Astyanax mexicanus: one gene and its partners. The protein of the gene in region 1 interacts with the protein of each later gene in a pairwise test. Links are inferred from orthologs where the notes say so. Each region holds a gene or a part of one and is shown in the gene's direction. Other genes may lie near its edges.

What was found.
Region 2: the proteins of stat3 (region 1) and nfkbiz interact in a two-hybrid assay, tested with the Homo sapiens proteins (2 studies listed by BioGRID and IntAct). The link is inferred for Astyanax mexicanus from reciprocal best matches to the Homo sapiens genes STAT3 and NFKBIZ.
Region 3: the proteins of stat3 (region 1) and rpa2 interact in a two-hybrid assay, tested with the Homo sapiens proteins (2 studies listed by BioGRID and IntAct, with this or other methods). The link is inferred for Astyanax mexicanus from reciprocal best matches to the Homo sapiens genes STAT3 and RPA2.

The regions. Positions count from the first base shown.
Region 1 is NC_064426.1:26,731,746-26,739,544, reverse strand, and holds the start of stat3 (signal transducer and activator of transcription 3), read left to right. Parts: upstream 1-4,721; 5' UTR 4,722-4,931; intron 4,932-7,799. UniProt on the Homo sapiens protein: Signal transducer and transcription activator that mediates cellular responses to interleukins, KITLG/SCF, LEP and other growth factors. Once activated, recruits coactivators, such as NCOA1 or MED1, to the promoter region of the target gene.
Region 2 is NC_064428.1:19,854,488-19,862,529, reverse strand, and holds the start of nfkbiz (NF-kappa-B inhibitor zeta), read left to right. Parts: upstream 1-4,615; 5' UTR 4,616-5,091; coding exon 5,092-5,323; intron 5,324-6,681; coding exon 6,682-6,788; intron 6,789-6,997; coding exon 6,998-7,031; intron 7,032-7,123; coding exon 7,124-7,221; intron 7,222-7,430; coding exon 7,431-7,807; intron 7,808-7,990; coding exon 7,991-8,042. UniProt on the Homo sapiens protein: Involved in regulation of NF-kappa-B transcription factor complexes. Inhibits NF-kappa-B activity without affecting its nuclear translocation upon stimulation.
Region 3 is NC_064413.1:34,489,810-34,497,576, forward strand, and holds the start of rpa2 (replication protein A 32 kDa subunit), read left to right. Parts: upstream 1-4,481; 5' UTR 4,482-4,625; coding exon 4,626-4,638; intron 4,639-6,396; coding exon 6,397-6,491; intron 6,492-6,616; coding exon 6,617-6,718; intron 6,719-6,840; coding exon 6,841-6,954; intron 6,955-7,044; coding exon 7,045-7,119; intron 7,120-7,767. Other genes in the region: smpdl3b (acid sphingomyelinase-like phosphodiesterase 3b), read right to left, coding at 1-19, 459-592, 757-937, 1,081-1,250, 1,346-1,489, 1,588-1,685, 1,922-2,135, 2,412-2,481. UniProt on the Homo sapiens protein: As part of the heterotrimeric replication protein A complex (RPA/RP-A), binds and stabilizes single-stranded DNA intermediates that form during DNA replication or upon DNA stress.

The DNA.
Region 1 (7,799 bases):
TATTCAGGCTCAAAGTAGCTCCACACCTCCTTTCTAGAATCCAGAGAGCACTGACATTTAAAACGAGGCATTAATAACTTAAAAAGTGCACAAGAAGCTTATTAAAAACCTCTGTTTACATCCCATAACGCAAGCTTCAGCTCGGAGCACCACCATTATTGAACTAAAAATAACAGACATATATATACATAGATTCCGCATAGCGTAGCAGCCAGCGCCAGGAGGTAGGCTATGCGGAGTCTATGCATACATATATATGTCTATGTTATTTTCAGTTCATTTATTGGCGGCGCTCTTAGCTGAAGCTCCTATTATACTCAATAATGAAATTCTGAAATCTTCCTTTTATTTTCAGTCAGCTTAGATTCACAATGTTTTCTTAGAGGTGGTCATAATTAAGGGGATCTGTACCAGGTTTATCTGGCATAAATGTGGCATTAATGTGGCATCTGGCCCCACCCAAGATTGGTATTTATGTGTGTCTAGTCCAGCAGTAAGACAATCGGTGATCGAAAAAAAAAAAACGACCCTAAAATCGTGTCTACTAAAAGTATTACTTTTTTTTAGTTCAGTTTTTTACTTTTTTTTTACTTTCCTGTCCTGACTTCTTGTTGTCTTGATTAGTAAAATATTATAAAGCACTGCAAATGTTGCACATTTAGTGAGATTTTAAACTCATTCAGGAAAAATATTTAAAAAGGACTACAGCACCTTTTTTATCTGACAGTGTGAAAATCAGGAACATTATACACACTGAACTAGGTTCTAGTGGATTCAAATGACTGATCTATAGAGCAGGGGTCAGCAGTTCTTTTCCTGAGGGACTGGGGGACAGGGATTATAGATTGGCATCAGTCCCAGTCATAGACGCCCAGATGTCAGCACAGCGCAATTGAATCAAGTGTGTTTGACATGGGAAGTCACCAAACTGTGCTGGACTCTGGTCTTTGTACACTGTGAACAGATCCTGATCTATATATCTGAACCCTAAATTACTCTTCTATATTTAGTCTATAAATCATTTTCATTTACATTTCTATGATAGGCAATGTTACTCATTCAGCACCTACTGGCTGACCAATATGACCAAACTGGTTGATGAGCATAACCAGTAAGACCTCGCTGGCTGACCAAAACTGTTCAAACAGCAATTCCACCCTGATGATCAGCATGGCCAAACTCATCAACCATTGTAACCAGCATTACTTCAGTGCTTGACCACCATGACCTTGACCCAAATCCAGTGCAAAATCTCCCCACTCTGCTGACAGGTGCTGCCAGGGTGGTTCTATGCACAGGCCCTAGAAGCATATGAAACTCTTTTAACTGACTCACAGAAAATGGATGGATGGGTTTTTTTAGTGGCAGTTGAGACCTAGGTGGAAATACAGAGGAATGCAAAAAGTCTTGTTTTGCAAAATATGTGCTCTTTGAGTTGGTGACGTATGTGTCACAGACCCTTTAAAAGGTGTGGAAAGTTCACTGTTTGCTGAAACTTCACACCAGACCTCAAGCAGCTTGGACTGTGTGTCTCTCCACTCTTCCTCTACTGATGGTCAGTGATGGTTTGGAGAGACATGTCATCTGCTGGTGTTGGTCCACTGTGTTATATCAAGTCCAAAGTAAGTGCAGTGTTCTCATGGAAAATCATATAGCACTTTTTAATGGAGACACAGATTTCATTTTCCAGCAGGACTTGGTACACTGCCCACAATGCCAAATGTACCAATTGGACTTATATGATATTTAAACTTTCTGAGATACTGATTATTGTATTGTGTTTTAATAGGCTGTGAGCCATAATCATAATCAAATTAAATAAACACTTGAAAAATATAAGTTTTACAGAAATTCACTTTTCAATTATTTTCAAATTTTTTGAGATGCACAAGTATACATTCCTGGAAGAACGTACAAGACCACTTCAGTTTCTCTGATTTAACTTTCGATAAGTAAATGTTTGAGTAAAACTAGCATTGTTGTTTTATTCTATAAACTACGTACAACATTTCTCTCAAATAAAAAGTATTGTCATTTAGAGCATTTATTTGCAGAAAATGAATAAAAGATGCTTTCAGACCTTAAATAACGTAAAGAAAACAAGTTCATATTCATAAAGTTTTAAGAGTTCAGAAATCAATATTTGGTGGAATAACTTTTTATGCACCTTGCATAAATGCATAATGCACCTTGGCATGTTCTCCTCCACTAGTCTTACACACTGCTTTTGGATAACTTTATGCCTGGACTTCTGGTGCAGAAATTCAGGCAGATCAGCTTGGTTTGATGGCTTGTGATTGTCCATCTTTCTCTTGATTATATTCCAGAAGTTTTTAATTCGGTAAAATCAAAGAAACTCGTCATTTTTAAGTGTTTTTTTCAAGAGCCATATGTAAAAAGAAAACGGTATAATATATTAATTACTGTGATTTACCATATTGATATTAATCAAAACAGGGTGGAATGTTGTGGTTTTGCTTTGTGTTTAATACATAGAGGGAGGGAAGCTGGGGGAGTGGCGGAGTCCCCTTGCATCCCCTGTATTAACCCATTTCAACCCATCGGTCACAATTGTGACCAAAAAATGTTTTTTAATTATTAGCCTCTAAAAATGTTACTGGTTAATTTCCCAATACTCTATAAGGAAATATTGAAATATTACAATGTTTCAATTAAATGTGGACAGTATCAAATGTTTTGAGTAAATTGTCACATGACCAGAGCTGTTTACTTCCTGGTTGCATCTTGAGAAGAGGATGGCTGCCTCAAAGCTCCCAAATAAAAGGCTGGTAAAGTATGTTAAAATAAACATAGAAACAAATATTTTTGTACACATGCTCTCGAAGTTGTTTAGTTATGATATATGCATTCGTAATTAGTCAAATGTCTTTGGTGTGTTTGCAGAATGAGTAAACATGTAAACAGTCACAATTGTGACCGGTGGGATAGAATGTTGTATCTAGATGCACACATACTAAATATACAAACAAATTTCTTGTTGCATCTTACCTATATATATTTTTATTTTAGGATGACTAATTTTAGGCATGCAACGTTGCTATCATACCTCAAAATGAGAAAGATGCTATTATAAGTTATTGTGATAGTGATGGGTCAGATATGGACTACCATATCTGGTTACTTTATTTTCTAAGTTACTGTAATACAATGTCTGACTGATTGTTGAACAGAATCAAGCACTTCGCTCAGGTGCCTACCTCGTTACTGTATACCTGCCTATTATCAATTTTTTGTTAAATTAGGGAATAACGGTGTTCAGTAAGGAGTAATCAGTAACTAATTACTGTTATCATTTTCAACACCCCGTTACTGCACGTTATTTAGACGCTCAATTAACTATTTTTTTTTAACTTTGCGCATACAGACAAATATGCAAGTGTGTGTGTGTGTGTTGTGTGTGTGAGTTACAAGGGAGGGGAGGATGAGATAACCGCCTAAGCAATGATTGTTGTCTTTGCTGTTGTCTTTGGGGGCTGGGAGGTGGGGGGGGAGGGGGGGGGGGTTACGGAGGCAAGTAACAAAAGTAACCCAGTAGTTACTTTTACTGGTAACCAGTTACTTTTATAGTGGAGTAACTCAGTTAGTAAATCAGTTTCCTTTTCGGAGAAGTAACTACTAACTATAACTAATTACTTTTTCAAAGTAACGTGCCCAACACTGTTTACTAATAGTATACACAACAGTTTACATCATTCCTGAAGTTTTGAATGAAGTATTTGACTGTAATTTACATTTAGTTGTAAATGTTGTACTAAAATATTACACCAACATTAAAAGATTTGCAGTAAAGTACAATTTAAAATGTTTACAAATAAATGTTTCAATACATGTTACACTAAAGTGATGCTGTTGCAATTTGTATTTGAAATAATTAAACAAGGTTAACATATTTTGAACATATTTTGCCACGGGTCTTAGTGTTCCTATGGTGTGGAAAGTCCCAAGTTCCTGATCAAGTATTCTGTTTCAGTGATTGCTGTCAGAAGGCCCTTATTTCAACAAAAAAACTATTTGAGCAACCTTTCATTGAGAATACGCATATCATCCCACCGGTCACAATTGTGACCGGTAATAAAACACACTTTTTCATCTACTTTTCTCATTTTTTTGGAGGAAATAATTCTTGATTATTTCAAAGGGTTACTAATAACACATGATTTGCATATTTGCATGTCTGGGAAAAATTTGGGCATAAATGGGTTAAATGTTTAAAAGTGAAAGTAATGAAGCGTTTTAAAAGTAGAGGTTTTATACAGTAAATCTCGTATAGTTTCGTCTCTGCTTTATTACTACACTATTCCTGAAGGGCTCTGTGGTGTAGAGTCGTGCTGGAGCGGGATTGATCAGGAGGATAAACGTCACGATCCCCCTATCAATATCAACACCTCGCTTTCGCTGTATTGAAGCCGTGATGACGTCGCCGCTGCCAGTAATTCAGATGACTTCCAGCCGGGCTGTTCCAGGAACGCGAGCGCTGCCCCCTCCGCTGCACACGTACGCCAACGACAGCCCGGAGGGAGGAAATGAAGTCGTGTGGGTCAACCAACCCAGACCAATAAACAACTGGCTCGCACAAACCCGCTGGCGGCAGAGCCCGCCTTTATGGTGCTGTTTCTGCGTCACGATTGGACAAAATTCTGGATGTGCAACGCGATTCGTCATACGCGCTGTCAATCACTGCGAAGTTACAGCCGCCCCGCCCCTCCTTCAAGCCAGACCTCTCTGGACTTACATTTTTCAGGCTGTTTCCATAAAGTTAGGATAAGAGTGGTCGTTGAGGGAGTCTGGTATAGCGTTTTATTCGATATTTACACGCTTTGGAAGCAGTTTTGGTTGCCTAATTCACTCATCGGCGGGTCGAAGACTTTTGCCACCCTTTTTTCTGAATTTGCGAAGCACGGATACAGAGGGTAAGTCAGTAGTTAACTAACCTAGGTTAGCTAAGGAAGGCATCCAAGAAACGAGCCAGTTTGAATTTTTCAATTTTTATTTAGCTGACTATTCTTTGTCAGTGAAATACAGATAGATAGATACACGTTTTATTTTTAATAAGTGGACTAATGTGCGCTGGGGGACTCAGACTCAAACCCACAGATACAGAATAACTGATCTGAAAGTTGGTTGATGTTGGGCTGTGTAGTTCTGAGAACACGATGCTCCTGCATGTGTGTGTGTGCGCGTGTGTGTGTATGTGTGTATACCGTGAAACATAGCTGTGTGTGTCGTCTATATTACTTTGGCCCTTACATTATACATATAATTTATGTCTGATTGGATGAATGTGATATATCCAAATAATTCTCTCTCTCTCTCTCTCTCTCTCTCTCTCTCTCTCTCTCTCTCTCTCTCTCTCTATCTATCTATATATATATATATATATATGTATATATATATATATATATATATGTATATATATATATATACATATATATATATATATATATACATATATATATGTATATATATATATACATATATATATGTATATATATATATGTATATATATATATATATATATATATACTATACATTATTTGGATTAGTATCTATTATTTATTTATTTGTTTGTTTACCTTTACCACTAAGTAAGGCATCATCCCGTCTATGATGCGTCTATGACACATTATAAATGTGTATGTGTGTGTTTGTTTGTTTTGGTCATTCTATTATTATTCTTTAAAATAATTAATGTGAAATGTTTGTTTTTTGTTGTAAATAGACGACAACTAAGGTAAAAATACTAAAGCAGTGTTCAACTCCTAAATGCATCTTTATGGTGTTACTCCATGTGCAAATATGTCCAATATATCTCTGTGTGTGTGTGTGTGTTTGTGTGAGAGAGAGAGAGAGAGAGAGAGAGAGAGAGAGAGAGAGAGATACAGAGTGATGCAGGGAAAAGAGAGAGAGAGAGGGAGAGATAAACAGAGTGATACAGGGAAAGAAAAAGAGAGATACAGAGAGTAATACAGGGAAAGAGAGATATAGAGAGAGGTACACACAAAGTGACACAGGGAAAAAGAGGTGTACAGAGAGAGAAAGCGAGATAAACCAAGTGATATAGGGGGGAAAGAGAGAGAGAGTAAGAGAGAAAGAGAGAGCATGAGAATAACCGCAGGCTCAATCTACGCTTTTCAAAACCGTTACATTTAGCGGGTGGGGGGGGGGGGGGGGGTTGGGGGAATGTCCCATCCAGGCACCGATCAGCAGCCGTTCCTTATCCTAAAACAATATGAACACTTAAAAATATACTCAAATATATACTCAACAGAGGCTGGTCCAAAAAAGAAGGCAGCGAACTGTAATGGTAGCTAGAGCTACATCTTCTTAATTTGATGGAATTTATATGCTGTGTTTTTGTATTTACGTTGTATAAGCAGCACATCACATTCACAAAAATGAGACACTAAAATCTGTTTGAAATCACTTTATTTTTCACCTCCTTTGGGGCTGTCCCTGTCTACCGTGACGTCACGGCTTCCAGTATACTGATGGAGGGAATCCTCTCGTTTCGTTTCTGAACACTGCCTGCTGTGAACAGTGTGTGTGTGTGTGTGTGTGTGAGTGAGAGAGAGAGGAGGTGCTTTCACACTGCACGCCGTAGCCGCGCCGCTGTACGCTGACCCCCATCGGATTCATTAGTTTCTCCAGCTGTAGGAGCAGTGCAGAGAGCGGTGCGTTTCCACGCCCATAAACCACGCCTCCACTGTGCTTAACTCTTTCCGCGGTCAAAGTTCAACACGGTTCAACTTTGACCTCGCGACCAGGTCGGACAGGATTAGTTTCGCAGGGGGGGGTCTCTGAAAAATATTTCACACTTATACTCAGTGATAAAACCCTTGCATCAGGACTGCAATTGAAAAAACAGGTGGACCAGTGTGTTTTTTGCTTGTGTTTACGCTTATTTCCATGAAAACGGGCACACCAACATGTAATTATGGCAGGTGACAGTGGACAAATAGCTATTTCATTAAACCTGAGGTGATGAAATTCAAAGATGTGCATCCGAACAGACTAAAATTACTGGTTGACCGCAAAGTTTAGCAAAAAACAGTAGGTAATGCTGCATGTAATTTTTTCAGAGGACGTCTGAGAAAAACACATACGTGGTCGTTCCAGATGGGAATAAAATCACAGAGGACCCCCCATAAAATAGAAAATTACACCAGGACCCCCTGAGAAATTAAACTCGTCCGGATAGGGCTTTTAAAATAATTTATATTTTTTTGTTTACTTAGACACCCGACAGTAGCAAAACCTGCATAATTAGAAGGAATTATTAAAATTAATCATTCATATTTAGAAAGATAATTATTACTGGCCACCTTATTTTCTGTTTAAAATATCCTTTATTAACCTATACCACAGTTAGTTCTGACCCTGCAATTTGATTGGCTGAGAGGCGTTTTATAAGCGACATTATCAGCCGGTAATGCACCGTAACTTAAGCACTCCATATATTACTCCGCAACATACTTATCTTTTATTTTAATAATAACAACTCTTATCATAATATTGATGGCTGATCGTGTGTGTAATAATGCGTATTCTTGAATTGCTTATTTGTGTGGACCACATAAAATTTGCAATTATTCCGGATTAAGCGTGTTTTTTACAGTTAATGTAAAAAAATGTACATGAACAGAACAACTCAATGAAAATAAATTAAACTTAAAAATAAAGCACATTCAGCTTCTACACTTCTGGAAAAATGCAAGAGTACATACTCCTGAATATTCCTGAAACAAAATTACATGGATTGTCTACACTGTAGAAACACA
Region 2 (8,042 bases), on another chromosome or scaffold:
GCATGTTCTCCTCCACCAGTCTTACACACTGTTTTTGGATAACTTTATACCACTCCTGGTGCAAAAATTCAAGCAGTTCAGCTTGGTTTGATGCTTAGGCTGTGATCCTCCATCTTCCTCTTGATTATATTAAAGAGGTTTTAAATTTGGTAAAATCAAATAAACTAATCATTTTTAAGTGCTCTCTTATTTATTTTTAGAGCTGTAAATGATACTGGACATATATAATCTGTATTTAGTAGATATTTAATTGGAAATTAGAACAATATAAATTCTGCTTTTGCTACAAATAGAACAAAATAAAAATAATAATAAAAATAAAATAACACAATATTTTCTGGTATTTTTTGCAATAAAAGATTTTAGTGATATTATTGCCTATAATACTATATGTCACACCTCTATTTTGAATCACTGATTAATTTGTGTATCGTATTGTATTTATTGTATTTTTATATTTTTAAGTATTATACCACTGAGCATTATGTCACAAGTTATAATTTATTTTTATTTTTCTCATTAAATTGGCTTGGAACGTTTTTAGGCTTGGGACATTTCCCCATAGGAATCCGTTTAAAAGTGTCCCTAAACTTTTGTCAAAAATTTCAAACTGCTCTACAATAACTTATTAGCTAGAACCATGAAAATTGATACTTGAACTTTGAACTTTTTACAGAGTTTCAAACTTGCAAAACTTTGCAAAAAGCAAATTTTCCCCTTTAGGAATCAATAGGGGGCCCAGAGTTCCATCTCACACACCAGCCTCCATACACACACACAGTTTGTTTTCCAGAATAAAGGGCCATATTCAGATTCATGTGAAGACCTTTAGACCAGATAACGAAGCTCCAGGAAGTATTTTTAATAGAATTATTTAAAAAGGTTTTCTCTTTTTATCTGCTGAATTGATGTTTAAAAAGGAACACACCTATGCCCTGTACAAAATAGTTTGTGTGTCTGATTTGTATCTAAATTATTATATTTTTCTGATATGATGCCTCCTAGGAACTCTTCTCAAATTAATTAACAGTCTGTGTTTTTTAGGGTAGGGGTGTGGCTTAACACCTCTAAACCTCTGATCCTAGAAACCCCTGCTCTAATCTTTTGGCCTTTGATGGCTTTTGTTGATTTTATAATAGTGATAGGCCATAGACTGTCTTTATCATTTGTTGCTGTTTTACATCAGTGGGTTTTGTATTGAGAGGTGAAACACGTTCCCTGCACCAGATGGCGCTATGTAGTTAGAAAAATAGATGATTTGTGATACTAAAATACCTCATTGTACATACTCACTGTATAATAATATATTGTGATCTGCATGACAAAAGCAATTGATGATTTGGGAAACAGCAGACAGTTATATACATTAATTTGCTGTTTTTTATAAAATAAATGAGAAATGGCTTCTGAGATGTGCACAAGTGACTGGGTGATGTGCAGTTTAAACAACTGGTTTTGAGAAATTCGATTCTGATGTTACAGATGCTCCAAAGTGAGAGAGGAAAAACTGTATTTAAACATTCTGTAGTTTTTCCTGTGAATCATAAAACAGTCTTAGCAGTTACACATTACTGTTTATGAGAACCTGACTACAAAAAATTGGACAGAATTCACCTTCATTATTTTACTGTTTATATAGTAAATTATTGACAGACCCTGTCATTGTACCACAGAACAAAAAGACAAGACTGTGAGTACATTGTGTTTCATCAGGTTAAAGCTAGCCTCATCCAGGGGTCTGGTTTGTTTCATTCCAGTTCTGTTATGTTACATTCCATAATTTACATTGTGGCTTTTTTAATCACAATTATTGTTATTCTGGAAAATATACAAATATGAATACATATCAGATGTACGTTTCTTAAGTCACAGCAATTGTCAGACCACAGATCACCTACTGTACTGTATATCATTATACACTGATCAAGCAAAGCGTTAGATTTTTGTATCCTTCTCCTAAACCATGATGTTAAACAATCTTTGTTTTTGGGTCATTTGAGAGTTGTTTTAAGGTTCCCATGTTGCCACTTTTCAGAGAAGATGAAAAACTGGCAATTGTTCACCTAAACCCTTTCTTATAATTGAATTCATCTGTGTATGTAGGTCAAGGGCTTATCAAACAAATTCTGTGCTCCATTAATTAGTGTTCAAATCAATAAAACACCAAATTTATACACTTTTTTTTGTTTAAAGAATTATTGAACAGTCTGTAAATCCTATAAACTTCATTGCACTCCTCAAATATCACTGTGTTCGTCTGCTATGTGATATATTTACCTAAAATTGATGATCCAAACAACCAATGATTTATAAAGGAAAATCATGAAAATTATCAGAGGTGCCCAAACTTTTTCATACCACTGTAGATAAGTAGATAAAATACTTTCTTTACCCTGTGCCTCCGGAACTTTCAAAACACTCCAATGTGAACTGTGTGTGAAAACATTGCTCTGGGAGTTCTCCCTGTAGTTCTGGGAATTCCCTTACTGAATGTTCCTGGACAATCAGAGCTGACCCATAAAAGCTGACTCACTAAATTATTATAATGGTTTCAGTTCAACTCCGTCGTTCTCACACTTCACACTTCTAAAAACTGGACTGAATATGGAGGGAAAGCTGCACAGAGACCAAGCATGAAGCTTCAGGTAAGTCTGTATATATAACTCACACACACACAGACATTCTACAACCCAACTGCCAAAACAGAATGAGTTTAATCTAAATGCTTTAATATAAAATGTTTGGATGGAAAACAAAACAAAACAAAACACTAACTGGCTTAGACTTTGCCCAGCCATAAAAGCTGAAGTACTTTAATTACAATCAGCTACTATAGAATGACTTTAAAAGTAGATAGTCTTACTACCTTTAAAACTAGAACTAAAACAGCCTGTCAGTCTATACTAGGATATAAAATATGTGGATAAGTGATGTAACTTAGTGAACTGTGAATAAACTAAGCTAACAAATATATAACCTATAGCTAGCTTAGCTAACAGACAACATGAATAAATAGGTTACTTAGCTTCTGCTTTTAGCTATAGTTAATGGTTAGCTAACTTAGCATTGCTCTCTCTCATACTCAGACTGAGTCGTTCTTCTGATTCGGTTCAGTCTGGTTATTTCAGAATTGATTCATATGTGTTCAATTAAACGTCTACTGTGTAAAATGTACATTAATTCACATTTATTTAAGCACTACTTGGACTTGAATCAGCATTTCATTACCGAGTCATTTGCTGAACCGAATTCGCACAATGGAATAGATGAAATCTGAATCAGTGATCTGAATTGAACTGAACCAAACAGTTTGATTCACTGAACCACTGACTGTTCGTACAAATCGGTTGGTTCTCTTAATGCTGTCCATACACTACAAGACTTTAGAAGGACTCTGAAAAGACTTTTAAATAGACTAAAGTCCGACTCCCTCTCACATCTAAATACAAGATACAGACTTTTTACTCACAGACTAAGATTTTGCAAAGGCTGGGAATCACTTTTTGCAAGACTGCAACTAGACTCTTTCTAAAAATATTTTCCATTATGCTTCTGGTGGAGTTTAAATACAATACATATTAAGTTACAAATAATGTGTGTATCAATACTGTGATTTATCAGAGACTCACAACTTTTGTCGCCATAAACAGTTTACTTTTCTGCCACAATGTTAGTTCTTGATACATGTTTAATAGAATACATTTTGTATTCAACTCTGCCTATAAGCTTCTTTCCCCCTTTTTTGCCTCAACCTTGTACAACCTTGTTTAACTTTAAATATAATGACTTTAAATTGCTACCTGTGTTTAAAATACTGTACATATTAAAGTAAGAACTATATAAGGCATATTAACTGCAAAATGTGTTCTTTTTCAAATCATTTGGAAACACTTGTGTAAAATATTATTGCCTTGCTGCTTCCCGTAGCTCTCCTATTGGTTGTTGACATTGTTTACGTCACTATTTGCGTGAGCCAGGTCTCAATATTAAACATGGTTGATTTTATCTAAACGCCGGGACATGAAAAAGACTGACTAAAATTTTAAATCTTAACCACCTTATACTAAACGATCGAGATGAGGCAACCTCTATTTGACTCTATTTGACTATATCATAACTCTCGTGATTTTAACCCGACTTTGGAAATTTGTCTGCGACGGTGAAACCACTTGAAAATCTTTAGGTGTAAGGATGGCAAGTTTATACCAGTGAAATTGTGATTCTTTGCTATACAATGTTAATAGCAAAAAAAGGGGGAAAGAAGCTTATAGGCAGAGTTGAACACAAAATGTATTCTCTTAAAAAATATCAAGAACTAATAGTGTGACAGAAAAATAAACTGTTAATGGGGACCAAGTTGTGAGTCTATGATAAATCACAGTATTAATATACACATTATTTGTAACTTAATATGTAATATGTATTGTATGTAAACTCCACCAGAAGCATGATGGGAAATAATCTCTGAAAGAATCTAGTTGCAGTTAGAGCACAATTTTTAACCTAAAATATGTTTTTAATTATTATTTATTAAGAAAACTCGGAGCTCAGCACCTACCCGCAGCACAGAGAATCAGAGACTGCTGCTGAGGGATGGTGGCTCAGAAGGATCAAAGAGCGTAACTGCAGTTCACCACTTACCAGTAGGGGCCGCCAAAACTCCATTTTAGAACATTAAAGAGTCTAATTTTATGAAATTCATTTAAAACACAGGGATTTTCTTACTCTGTTACACAGTTTTAAAAAATGTGATAGCCAAGTCTGTGACTAGTCTTTAGATTTGAGAGGGTGTCAGACTTTACTCTTTCTGTTAAAAGTCTTTTTTAGAGTCTTTTATGTAGTGTTTATGAACAGCATTACGTGAATGGATGCTAGGGCAGTAGGCGGAACCAAATGGCTTAGCGGAGGAAAGCCGTGTTCTCATTGGTCGACAGTTCTTTGGTCGACAGCACCAATGTCTAATTGGTCGACAGTCACATCATTTATTTATCATGGGCGGGGCTAAACCTGCCGGTTAAATAAATGCTCGGACTCGCTCTTGTCCCGTAGTTCAGTCCGGGTTAGTGTTCAGAGTCCTGAAAGCGATAAAAGATGATTATCGACCGAATCTCCGAGGGCTATTCAGCTGTTCTCGACAGAGACACAGATGTAATGACCAGTCCGGTTCATCTCTGGTCCTTTTACGGCTGCTCTTCTCCCGCCACGGAGCCGAGCAGCTGCAGCGGGCAGCAGTCGCCCTGGTCCCCGGGAGAGTCGGAGCGGAGCTGGGGCAGCGCGGCGAGTCCTCCGCTGACCGAGCTCGGACTGCAGGGCAGCGTTACCGGTACCGTACCTCAAAAAACACACTACTAACGGAAGTCTGAATTATTTAATTATTTACTATAAATAGCTGTAACTGTTAATAATTAGTTTTTGTATTTAACCTAGTTAACACTTTAATACCCTGGCTGTTTCTAGCTGGAGTTTACCACCACCTGTTATACTTAACTTAAGCGGTTAACTTAACCCTCTGTGGTTTTGTGTTTTTAGGCAAAACTATTACGTTGTTCTGTCAGTTTTTATTTTAATAATATAATTTTTACAATAATAATAATAATAATAATAATAATAATAATAATAATAATAATTATATAACTTAATTATTATTATTAATATTATTGTATCTATTTTGTTTTCATTTTATTTCTAAAACGGTTTAATTTAATTTTATTTGCTATATTATGCAGTTAACTGAGCTAAATTAACTACATAACAATCATACTAAAACTAAAGTGGTTATTAATTTTTAATAATGGCTAGCGCTCAAAAAGTTAAAAAAGCTAAAATATTTCTTCTCATCAAATGCTGTAGAGGGTTAAAAAAATGATTGTTTTTGCTAAATTTAAAATGAATTGTTTTGTATTTTATTATTCAAATGCTTATCTGTAGGTTTTTAAAGCAAAAGTTGCTTTGTTTTTGTGGCAGTCTACAGTTTTTTTTAGATAATTAACGAACTGATTGAAATAAGGCGTTACAATGCAACATTTTATATAATAAAAATTATTACATTATTATTTTACTTTCTGAAATATTAGAAATGTGCTTTCATAATATATTTAAGTATATAATATAATGTAATTTTAATTCAAACATACATCATTAACGCACTTCTATTGTGTTGCTGATTACATTTGTAACTTTATTAATGTATTATTTATTACTATTTTGTTTTTAAAATGTTTCTTTTTGTAAATCTTTGAATAAAAGAGGCAATATATAGCATTTATTATTTAACTAATGAAGAAGGTGTAACAATAAGTTCATAGAATAATAACAACAAATTATTATTATTATTATTTGTAGTAGTAGTAGTAGTATTAATTTGTTAACATGAAAATATTTGTAGTAGGTATAGTAACCCAACTGAATAAGATAACTCCAATGTAAGAAGGTGTAGGGAAAGTATATAAAACACAAAGGGCCTGTACAAAGTACTTTCCCCTGAAAGAAAGAGGAACTAAAACAAATACATACATGAGTAATGAAATATGTTATATTTTATGCTTTATTTTGAAACAGATTTTTGTCATTATACTGTATAAATGTTTCCTGTTTCTGTTTATTATGTGGTTTGTAGCTTAATTTGTTTAGATTTGATCTTTGAGCTTCTTAAGATGACGTGGTGTTTTTTTTTCTCTGCAGTGGACTCTCCCCTGGACGTTTTACAGCATTCAAGTCGGTACCAGGGAGTAAGAGTGAAAAATACAGTCAGGGATCTCATTATGCAGAAACGGAGCTGTGACATTCAGGTAGGCATGTACTTCATCACTTGTGTAAATTAAAAACAGTATTCTGATTTTTATCTTTTACTTAAAGAGACTTGGTTTAAATGGTGGCTTCCTTTTTGACTAATGCACATATACATACATTTGCATGGTGGTTATCACAAATAGCTTCAGATATCAGTGTTTCTATTTCTAGAAAACTATTGATATATATTCTCTGTTTTTCTTTGCAGACACAGAAATCTAACAACGAAACAGAATTTCCAGGTAAATATTTTAAGACAAACTACATTTAATGTCTGCTATTTGATGAATATTGTGAATGATTTTTATTCTTGTGTTTTTTTTTTTTGTTTTAGCCATAACACAATTGCTGCAGTCTGCAAAACGTAAATATGAGAGTGACTTTCCTCAAACTGTCCCTAAAAGGCCTGCTACTTCACAAAACAATGTGCTGGTAATTATTTATATTTATATACACATATATGCAGGAGACACTGCACTACACATCTGTTTCAGACATTATAGATACGACTCTAATAATGACTTTAATAACTCTAATAAACCATTGCTTGATTTTTTTTTATGAAAAAAAAAGTGTTTTTGTGTGTAAGGTATCTACAAAAACCCCTGAATAAGTCTGTTCTCTCATTTTTTCTTTTCTAGTCTTCATGTTGTCTCAGCGAGATCATCCCAAAAGAACAAACCATCTGTACAGGTTTTGGTGACCTCTTCAGCAGTGGAGGCCTGTCTATCGACTCTGTGAAGGTACAGAGCAGTCCACTTCCAGAGCCACAGGAGCCCCTGCCCACCTACTACACCACAACCCCCAGCCCCCAGTACTCCAGCTGCCAGCTCTCCCAGGTTCAAGAAAGCCCATACATGTCCCCTTTCCAAAGCCCGAGCCCACAGCAAGGCTTCACGCCCTGTGTGTCCACAGCCGCTCCAGTGTCTTTCTTCCAGTGGCAGATCCAGCAGGAGGAGGAGAAACTAGCCAACTTGACCCCTCAGGACCTCATGTCCAAGGATGCTGATGGAGACACGTGAGTATTCTAGGACTTCTCAGAAAAAAAGCTTAGTAGAGAATGGTGGAAATGGCTCCACAAAGTCTTGCATTTACATTCTGTGAATTAAAATACACAGAAACCTCACTGTTCAAAGAGAAACTAGACAAAGAGGAAGAAGTGATCATAAGGAAACTAATGGTGAACGTTCATGTTTGACAGGTTCCTTCACATCGCAGTAGCCCAGGGGAGAAGAGCTCTGGCTTATGTGCTC
Region 3 (7,767 bases), on another chromosome or scaffold:
GGTAGTAGGTTATCATGTCCTAAATGATAATGAAGCAGACATTTTATTGTACATATTCAATAAGGAAATGTGACAGGGGGACATAACAGTAGAATATGAGGACTTTATGCTTTATCCTCTACAGTGAGTGTGTGTATTATACGTAGTCATGAAAATCTTTATATATTTAAACATATATTTCATTTTTTAATTTCAGCTATAATAAAAGAATAGTTATATAACTAAATACATACAACAGAAGAAATGTCTTAATACATTTTTGGAATGCATTTCATCAAAACAAAATCTTCTAATAAGTAAAAGATACTTAAATAAAGGTTACACCATATGCCCTAAAAGCTGGTATGATAAATACTGCATGCTCTCTCGAATGCTCAGTGTTTTCTTACATTATATTATTTCCCAAAACATAGTGTGTGAGATGTTTCAAGCTGAATGTTGTGCATTTTTGTTCATACCTTAACCAAAAGTGTTTTTTCATCGTACTCAAACACTCGAATGCCAGGGTTATTTGCTCCATCATCCACTCCAGGCAGTGTTGTTTTCCAAGGTGTAACTCCAGGAGTCAGGAACATGGCACTTATTGGAATTCCTGTGAAATAAATTGCTTTATTTTTTTTTAATAGAAAATCCAGGAATAAAAGTATAGCCCAGGTTCTCATTTTAGTATCACATTTCTGCATTAAAACAGTTTTTTAATTATTTTTACATTTTTTAATTATTGTTTTTTACTAGTCACTATTCATAGTGACACACCTGCTTTATCGTAGAACAGTCGAAAGCTGTCAGTGTGGTGATGACCAAAAAACTGGCCAATAATGATATCATGGTGCTTCTGAATTAGCTCCAAATAGTGTTTATTGAACTGCGGGCGAAACCACGGCTTGTGTCGCTTCTTCTCAAAAAATCCAGGGGGAACATGGCCAACGATGTATACCTAAATAAGAAAAATAAAACAATTATATGACAATAGCAGGAATGCATTTCTAATAATTACATTTCACATAAAAAATTTAAAAATCCATTTAAAAAAATATTCCACTCTTGAATTCCAATTCAACAAAACAAAAGATATGTAACCTTTTCCATGTTCTTTGCTGCTTCAGAAAGCACTTGGTCTGCCCATCTAAACTGGTCTGCTGGATCATTGATATTTTCTGTGATTTTGTTTTGGTCATAATACAGATTAGTGTTGAGAACCAAAACCCTGAGACCAGTCTGATTCAGAAGTTTCTCTGTGTAATATCCACCTGAAAACAGAACATTGAGGATAAAGTATATGTTTGAATGTCAAAAATGTTCTGTATTTGTTGCTGCCTAGTGAGGTGGCTAGGTGCGGTTTTACCTTTTTTAAATGTATCTCTGGATGCAGGATCCAGCCAGCTTTCCCACTGTTTTTGTATTTGTTCATAGATGCTGTTTTGCTCAGGTGGCAGCTGACTCTTTGGATGGTAGTCATGATTGCCCAGAGCTGAGTATACTTTGGTGGCTGTGGAGAAAACATACAAACAACTTAAGTTACCATATCCAAAGTGCTTAGTACCAGATTCAGTACATGTTTTTTCAATGCATTTGTGTGGCACGTACAAGGAAACAGCTCTTTTATGATTTGGGTTAGGTTTCCTATTATTCTCAGCACTGCTTCTTCTCCCAGGTCCTCATTAGGCACATGAGGTGTATCATCTCTGTGGAACATAAATGAAATAGTTCTAAATGCTGGATAAATACAACATTTAATTTTGTTATAAAATTAGATCTAAATAATTCAAATCAAATGGTTTATGTATAAAAGTATAGAATGTTTCCAATTTCTACATTCTTCCTCTTATCTAATGTGCTTGAACATTAGCTAGAGAACAAGAAAACAGGGCACTGTGTAGAATTTTACTTTTAAGATGATACCTGTAAAGACAGTGCTTACCCTGTCCAAATGATGAAGTCTGGATCAGGCAGGATATCCCTCATGGCATGCATTGATGAATTAATGAGATCCCACGGTGAATCACAGAGATAGTCTCCAAATTTCCCTGCATCAGGAGTAGGACGATTCCCACTTGAGTTACAAACTGATGCTGAGTTCCCATTTAAACTGTAGGTCGGGTCCCAGTGGAGGTCTGTGATGTGCCAAAAGCTCCCTAACATAACAAATATAAAGTAAATATTAAATGAAACACAAACACAAAAAGGTTAAATTACATTGTCAGTTGATTCCTTTTGTCTATTTTTTATTTCAGACGTAACCTGGGCATCTGTATGTTTCTTCAAATGGTACAATATTCATTTTGTTCTCTTTTTTACATTTACAAAGCTCCGCTTAGAGCTAAGATCCAGTTACATTTTTGTCCACTGAATATGAACTAGAACTGTCTCAGATAGTATGTGAAAAATTTCAGACAAACATCTTGACTCACCTGTCAGCACTTTGCCTTGCCCAGAGACGGTGAAAACACTGAGAAGGGTTACTTTCCAGATGAAGTCCATGTTGAGACTCGTTTAACTGTAGCTGTAACTGCCGGTCTTGGTATATGGAATAAGTGTTATCCAACTGGAAAGGCATGCAGTTGTCAGCTGATAGTAAAATGAAAGATAAGATAGGCCAACTGGAACCTCAGAACTCACCCATGCCAACATGTGTATCAGGATGATTTTTAACTAGTGAACTATAGATCAGTGTTTATAAACTGGAAAGTTTGATATATGATCTATTTATCACTGGTCAGGAATAACAGTAATTCCATTCATTTAACAGCCTAAACAAAAGTACAATGGGGACTTTGGCCGAGCTCTGGAAGTTGGACGCAATTAGCTGGTATGTGTTTCAGAAGGTTATTTTTGGATAGTGTTTCCGACCCTAATCTGAACACCAGTAGAAGCACTAGATAAAAAAGAATAGCAACTTAATTAAAATAAATGAATAAATTAATTAAGAAATCTAAATAAACTCCCTGTTATATCATAGAATCTGATAAACATCAACTTATGGTCCACAGTTCTATTCTCTGTTCCATGCTGCAGTTTTTAGTAATCTTATCTATATCAATTTTTTAAATATTACTGAAACACCTTAGATTGATAACTGCCATATTACAATTATAATCCTATTTTTACATATGTTTATGACTTTCTTTGTTCTTTGTCTTCATTAGATTACTACAGAACTTTGGGCCATGTTTAAAGCCATAATCAGAATCTTCAATATTACATAAATATTGTTTAATATTGTATAGTTATTGATGGCAAACATTGCTGTGTTAACACGTACCAAAAAAAACATGGTGATATATGTTTGACAGACCCTTTTAAAGCTTCCTTCCTTTAACTCATAAAGTTCTTAAGTGACATACATGTAAGTGTGCTGTATTAGTACTTAAGATAAAACTAAATTAGCTTAATTTTTTGCTTCTACAGCTTGGTTCTATTCTGTTCTATCCATGTTAACAGTTAAAATGCTTTAATGAAATGTTTTACATTTAATAGATCGGTCTATCAGTTTATAGAACAAAATGTTAAAATCAAGTTCTGAAACTGTTGCCCTCTATGGCACAGTGTTGCCCTCAGACAACAAACCCAATTTTGCTTATTACAAAATAATGTAGCCTATTTTTATGTATTTATTTTTAATATAATGTTACGAGGCATATCTATGTCCAATAAAATGAGACATACAAGTGGGTCATGAATAAAAATATGTATGTGCAAGAAATATAAAGTTAAAACAGATAATTGTATTTTATATATCCACAAGGACTTTTAAGCTTTTAAAATTATATATTTAAAAAAAACTGAATGAGCTGCTCACAGAATTTACCTGGAAACAATCAAGAAACTACTTAAAACTATTGAGTTTCTTTGATTTTATCATGTTCAAGAATATAATCAAGTGAAAGATGGGTAATCACAAGCCATCAAACCAAGCTGAACTGCTTGAATTTTTGCACCAGGAGTGGCAATAAAGTTATCCAAAAGCAGCGTGTAAGACTGTTGGAGGAGAACATGCCAAGAACATGTTTTCTTTGCATTATTTGAGGTCTGAAAGCTCTGCATCTTTTTTTTGTTACTTTTTTTTAATACTTGCACATGTCTATTATTTGTTTCATGTAAGTGCTTGTATGCATGCTTGTTCTTATGCACTATACCTTCTGTCTATGGCTGTGTTGTTAAGCGCTTTGAGTTTTCAGGAAAGGCATTATATAAATTAAATATTATTATTATTATTATTATTATTATTATTATTATTATTATTATTATTATTATTATTATTATTATTATTATTATTATTATTTTATTTCTGCCAATAAATGCTCTAAATGATAATATTTTAATTTGGGATAAATATTGTCTGTAGTTTATAGAAAAAAACAACAATGTTTATTTTACTCAAACATATACCTATAAATAGCAAAATCAGAGAAACTGGTATAAAACTGAAGTGGTCTCTTTTGTTGTTGTCACACAGTTGTGTCAATAAAGTTTTTTAAAGGCTGAATTTCGCGGGAATATTTTGTCACGCATGCGCGCGGATAGAGAGTTCTGCGCGCGGAGTCCGACTGAACAACAGGGAGAGATAGAGGAGCTGCTTTCTGACCCAAACCCATAATAAATACACCTCTCCTCACAGCCAGAACATGTGGAACCAAGGTATGCAGCTCTGATAACTTTCTGCTAAGAGCTTGTTTACGCTAGTTAAAATATTTTTGACAGATCTAAGCCTGTTAGCGTAAGAGCTAGCTAGCAAAAGAAGACAAGGCGGGTTTAATAGCTGGGTTTACTAGCAAACAGCATTAACGTAAATATTTTCTTTAAAACATAAGGTACTTAAACACGGCGCTGTTCACGTTTAAGCTGTCAACTTGGTCAACAATATAAAAGACAGCAGTGCCGACAGTAGCTCACTATCTAGTTGACTTAGTTAGCTAACGGTAGCTAACAAAGTTTCCACTGTTACAATATAGCGGAGTTAACGTACCTAGCTAAGCTAGTAAACTAACTAGCCTGCTAAGTTTGTCAGTTGGCACAGACTAAAACTGAAACAAAAGAAAACCTCCTACATATGTGAAATTGATTCCCTTTACTAACTCTGACCCCTTTTTTGTACTTATTTATTAAGGTAGGTTGTAGGTTTTGGCCCTACAACAAGTCTCTAAATATTATTGTTTTCTTGGCTTTAGGGGCTTCCATTCATCAAAAAAAACTTTTACGTACAAATATACACAAAGACACATCATAACTAAATAAGTTACATCTCTGGAAACTTCAGTTTCTGAATCAGTTTCTCTGATTTTGCTATTTATAGGTATATGTTTAAGTTGTGTTATTATTTTTATTTTTTTTACATTCCAGGTTTTACGGACAAAATTTCTTCCAAACTCCAAATACATGTCACTTAGAGCGTGAGAGAAATGAGAGAAAGATGCAGAGCTCTCAAACTTCAAATAATGCAAAGAAAACAAGTTTATATTCATAAAGTTTCAAGAGTTCAGAAATCAATATTTGGTTGAATTATCCTGGTTTTTAAAAACAGTTTTCATGCATCTTGGCATGTTCTCCTCCACCAGTCTTACACACTTTATGCAACTCCTGGTGCAAAACTGGTGCCAAAGCAGGTCATTATTTTTAAGTGGCCTCTTTTTTTCCTTCTAGAGCTGTAACCTGGCAGTCAACGAATAAAATTTAAAATAGTTTGTTTATATCCCCTTCTGTTGCACAGTATCATGTTGCACATCCACTTGCACATGTTGCACTTGCAACTTACTGAGAACTTCTTGTTTTATATTGCAAACCAGCTGTCCAATCTTCCCTCTCTGTAGTCCTCCACTCCATTTACGTGTTGGTTTATTGTTGTTTCTACTTATGTCTTGTTTTTGATTGATTATATATTTAAATGTCTCATTCTCTCTTGTATCTTCATGTTTCATGTGAGCAAGCACTTGTCAAAGCATTTCGCTGTTAGTTGTACCATATATGACTGATTGTAACATAAACTCTGAAATCATTAACTTGACAACAAAGACATATAATTCATTGTTCCCAAAGGAGAATTTTTCCTTGGACAAAAAAAAAACAAATTTGCATTAATTTTAAAATTAAAATATTGTATAAACCCTGGACATTATTTTATACATTCAATCTAACCCAGCACAGACTGTATTACACAAGCCTAGAACTTACTAACAAACATTGTCTTTAAACCAACAAACATTAGCTATATATGCAGTTGTCTTGGCCAAAAAAAAAATTGTACTTAATCAGGTCTGATTGTTTTATTTCTGTATATTGCAAGTAGGATTTAGGGGGTAATACACTATTCCTTTTATTTGGCATTCAGCATGTCATCAGTTTTTTTTTTTTTTAATACTGAAGTGTAGCAATTAATGTTTTTTCTTTCTTCTCTTTCAGGAACTTACGGCGAAGCTAGCATGGGTGGTGGGTACACACAGTCACCAGGGGGCTTTGGCTCACCTGCTGCCTCGCAAGGAGGAGACAAAAAAGGGGTTAGGCTTTACTCTTATATATGCATACAAATGTTGACATTTTTAAATTGTAAATCAGTCATTTTTATGACATAGCTTATGTAGTTGATGTCTCTCTGACACACCTGCCATTATGTTTTATGTAGCGGACACGTGCACAGCAGATAGTTCCCTGCACAGTTTCACAGCTCATGTCTGCGGCCCAAGCAGAGGATGTCTTCAGAGTGGGTGATGTTGAGGTTGCTCAGGTGAGTTTATTATCAGTCAAGAAGTAGTGTTTATCATGTGCTTAGATTTTTACTGTAAAGCTGAAGATATTTTTCTGACTGGAAAATATATTTTTGTAAATATTGTTATTTGTGCTGCCTAGGTCACGATTGTTGGGATCATTCGAAGCACAGACAAATCCATGACTAACATTCAGTACAAAGTAGATGACATGACAGGTTCCCCAATGGATGTGAAGCAATGGGTTGACACAGAGGTTAGAGCAAAGCAGTGTTTTTGGGTTAAAGTCTTTGTATTTATTAAATGTGCTGATTTTAACTGCTAGTGAAACTTTCTAATTTTTTAGGATCCCAGTGTGGATAGCTCAGTCATCCCTCCTAACACATATGTCAAGGTGTCTGGCAACCTGCGGTCCTTTCAGGTCAGTATCACTAAATGCATATATGATCAGTCACTTTTCATATAGACTCTATTATATTATGTTTTTGGAAAATAATTGCAATTTAAAAGCTATGGCGCAGAGGTTATTGGAATGCTTTTGCCGCTCCAGTGCTCACACCTGTCACTGAAACACATTCTCATTAGTCATTAAAGATATTAAATATGCTGCCTAACAGCCCTCATCCATGAATAAACACACTGCTTTCAATAAAATGTTATATTAACTGGACCTATCTAAAAAACCTTCTGCTGGATTTGCATCTGTCTTTACAGTTTGAGTATCGTTATCATAACACATGAGTATGAATTACAGATGAGCACAAAAAAAACTAAAAATAAATAATAATGTAAAAGTTTATGCTACATTCCTTCACCAAGTTAAAAATCATTTTATATTAGAAACTCCAGAAAATCACCATGAATGTACATAAATGTACAATCCGTCTGTACGTTTAAAATTGCATTGCTTTTTTAACTGTATCAGCAGAACAGTTAAATATTGTTCATAAATTTGCACAATGCATAATAGGACATGGCAATATTGTAAAAGCAACAGTATGTAGCATTTGTAGTTTTAACATCAGTGTGATGCTCCACTGACTTGCAACAGGGATAATGGAATCTATCA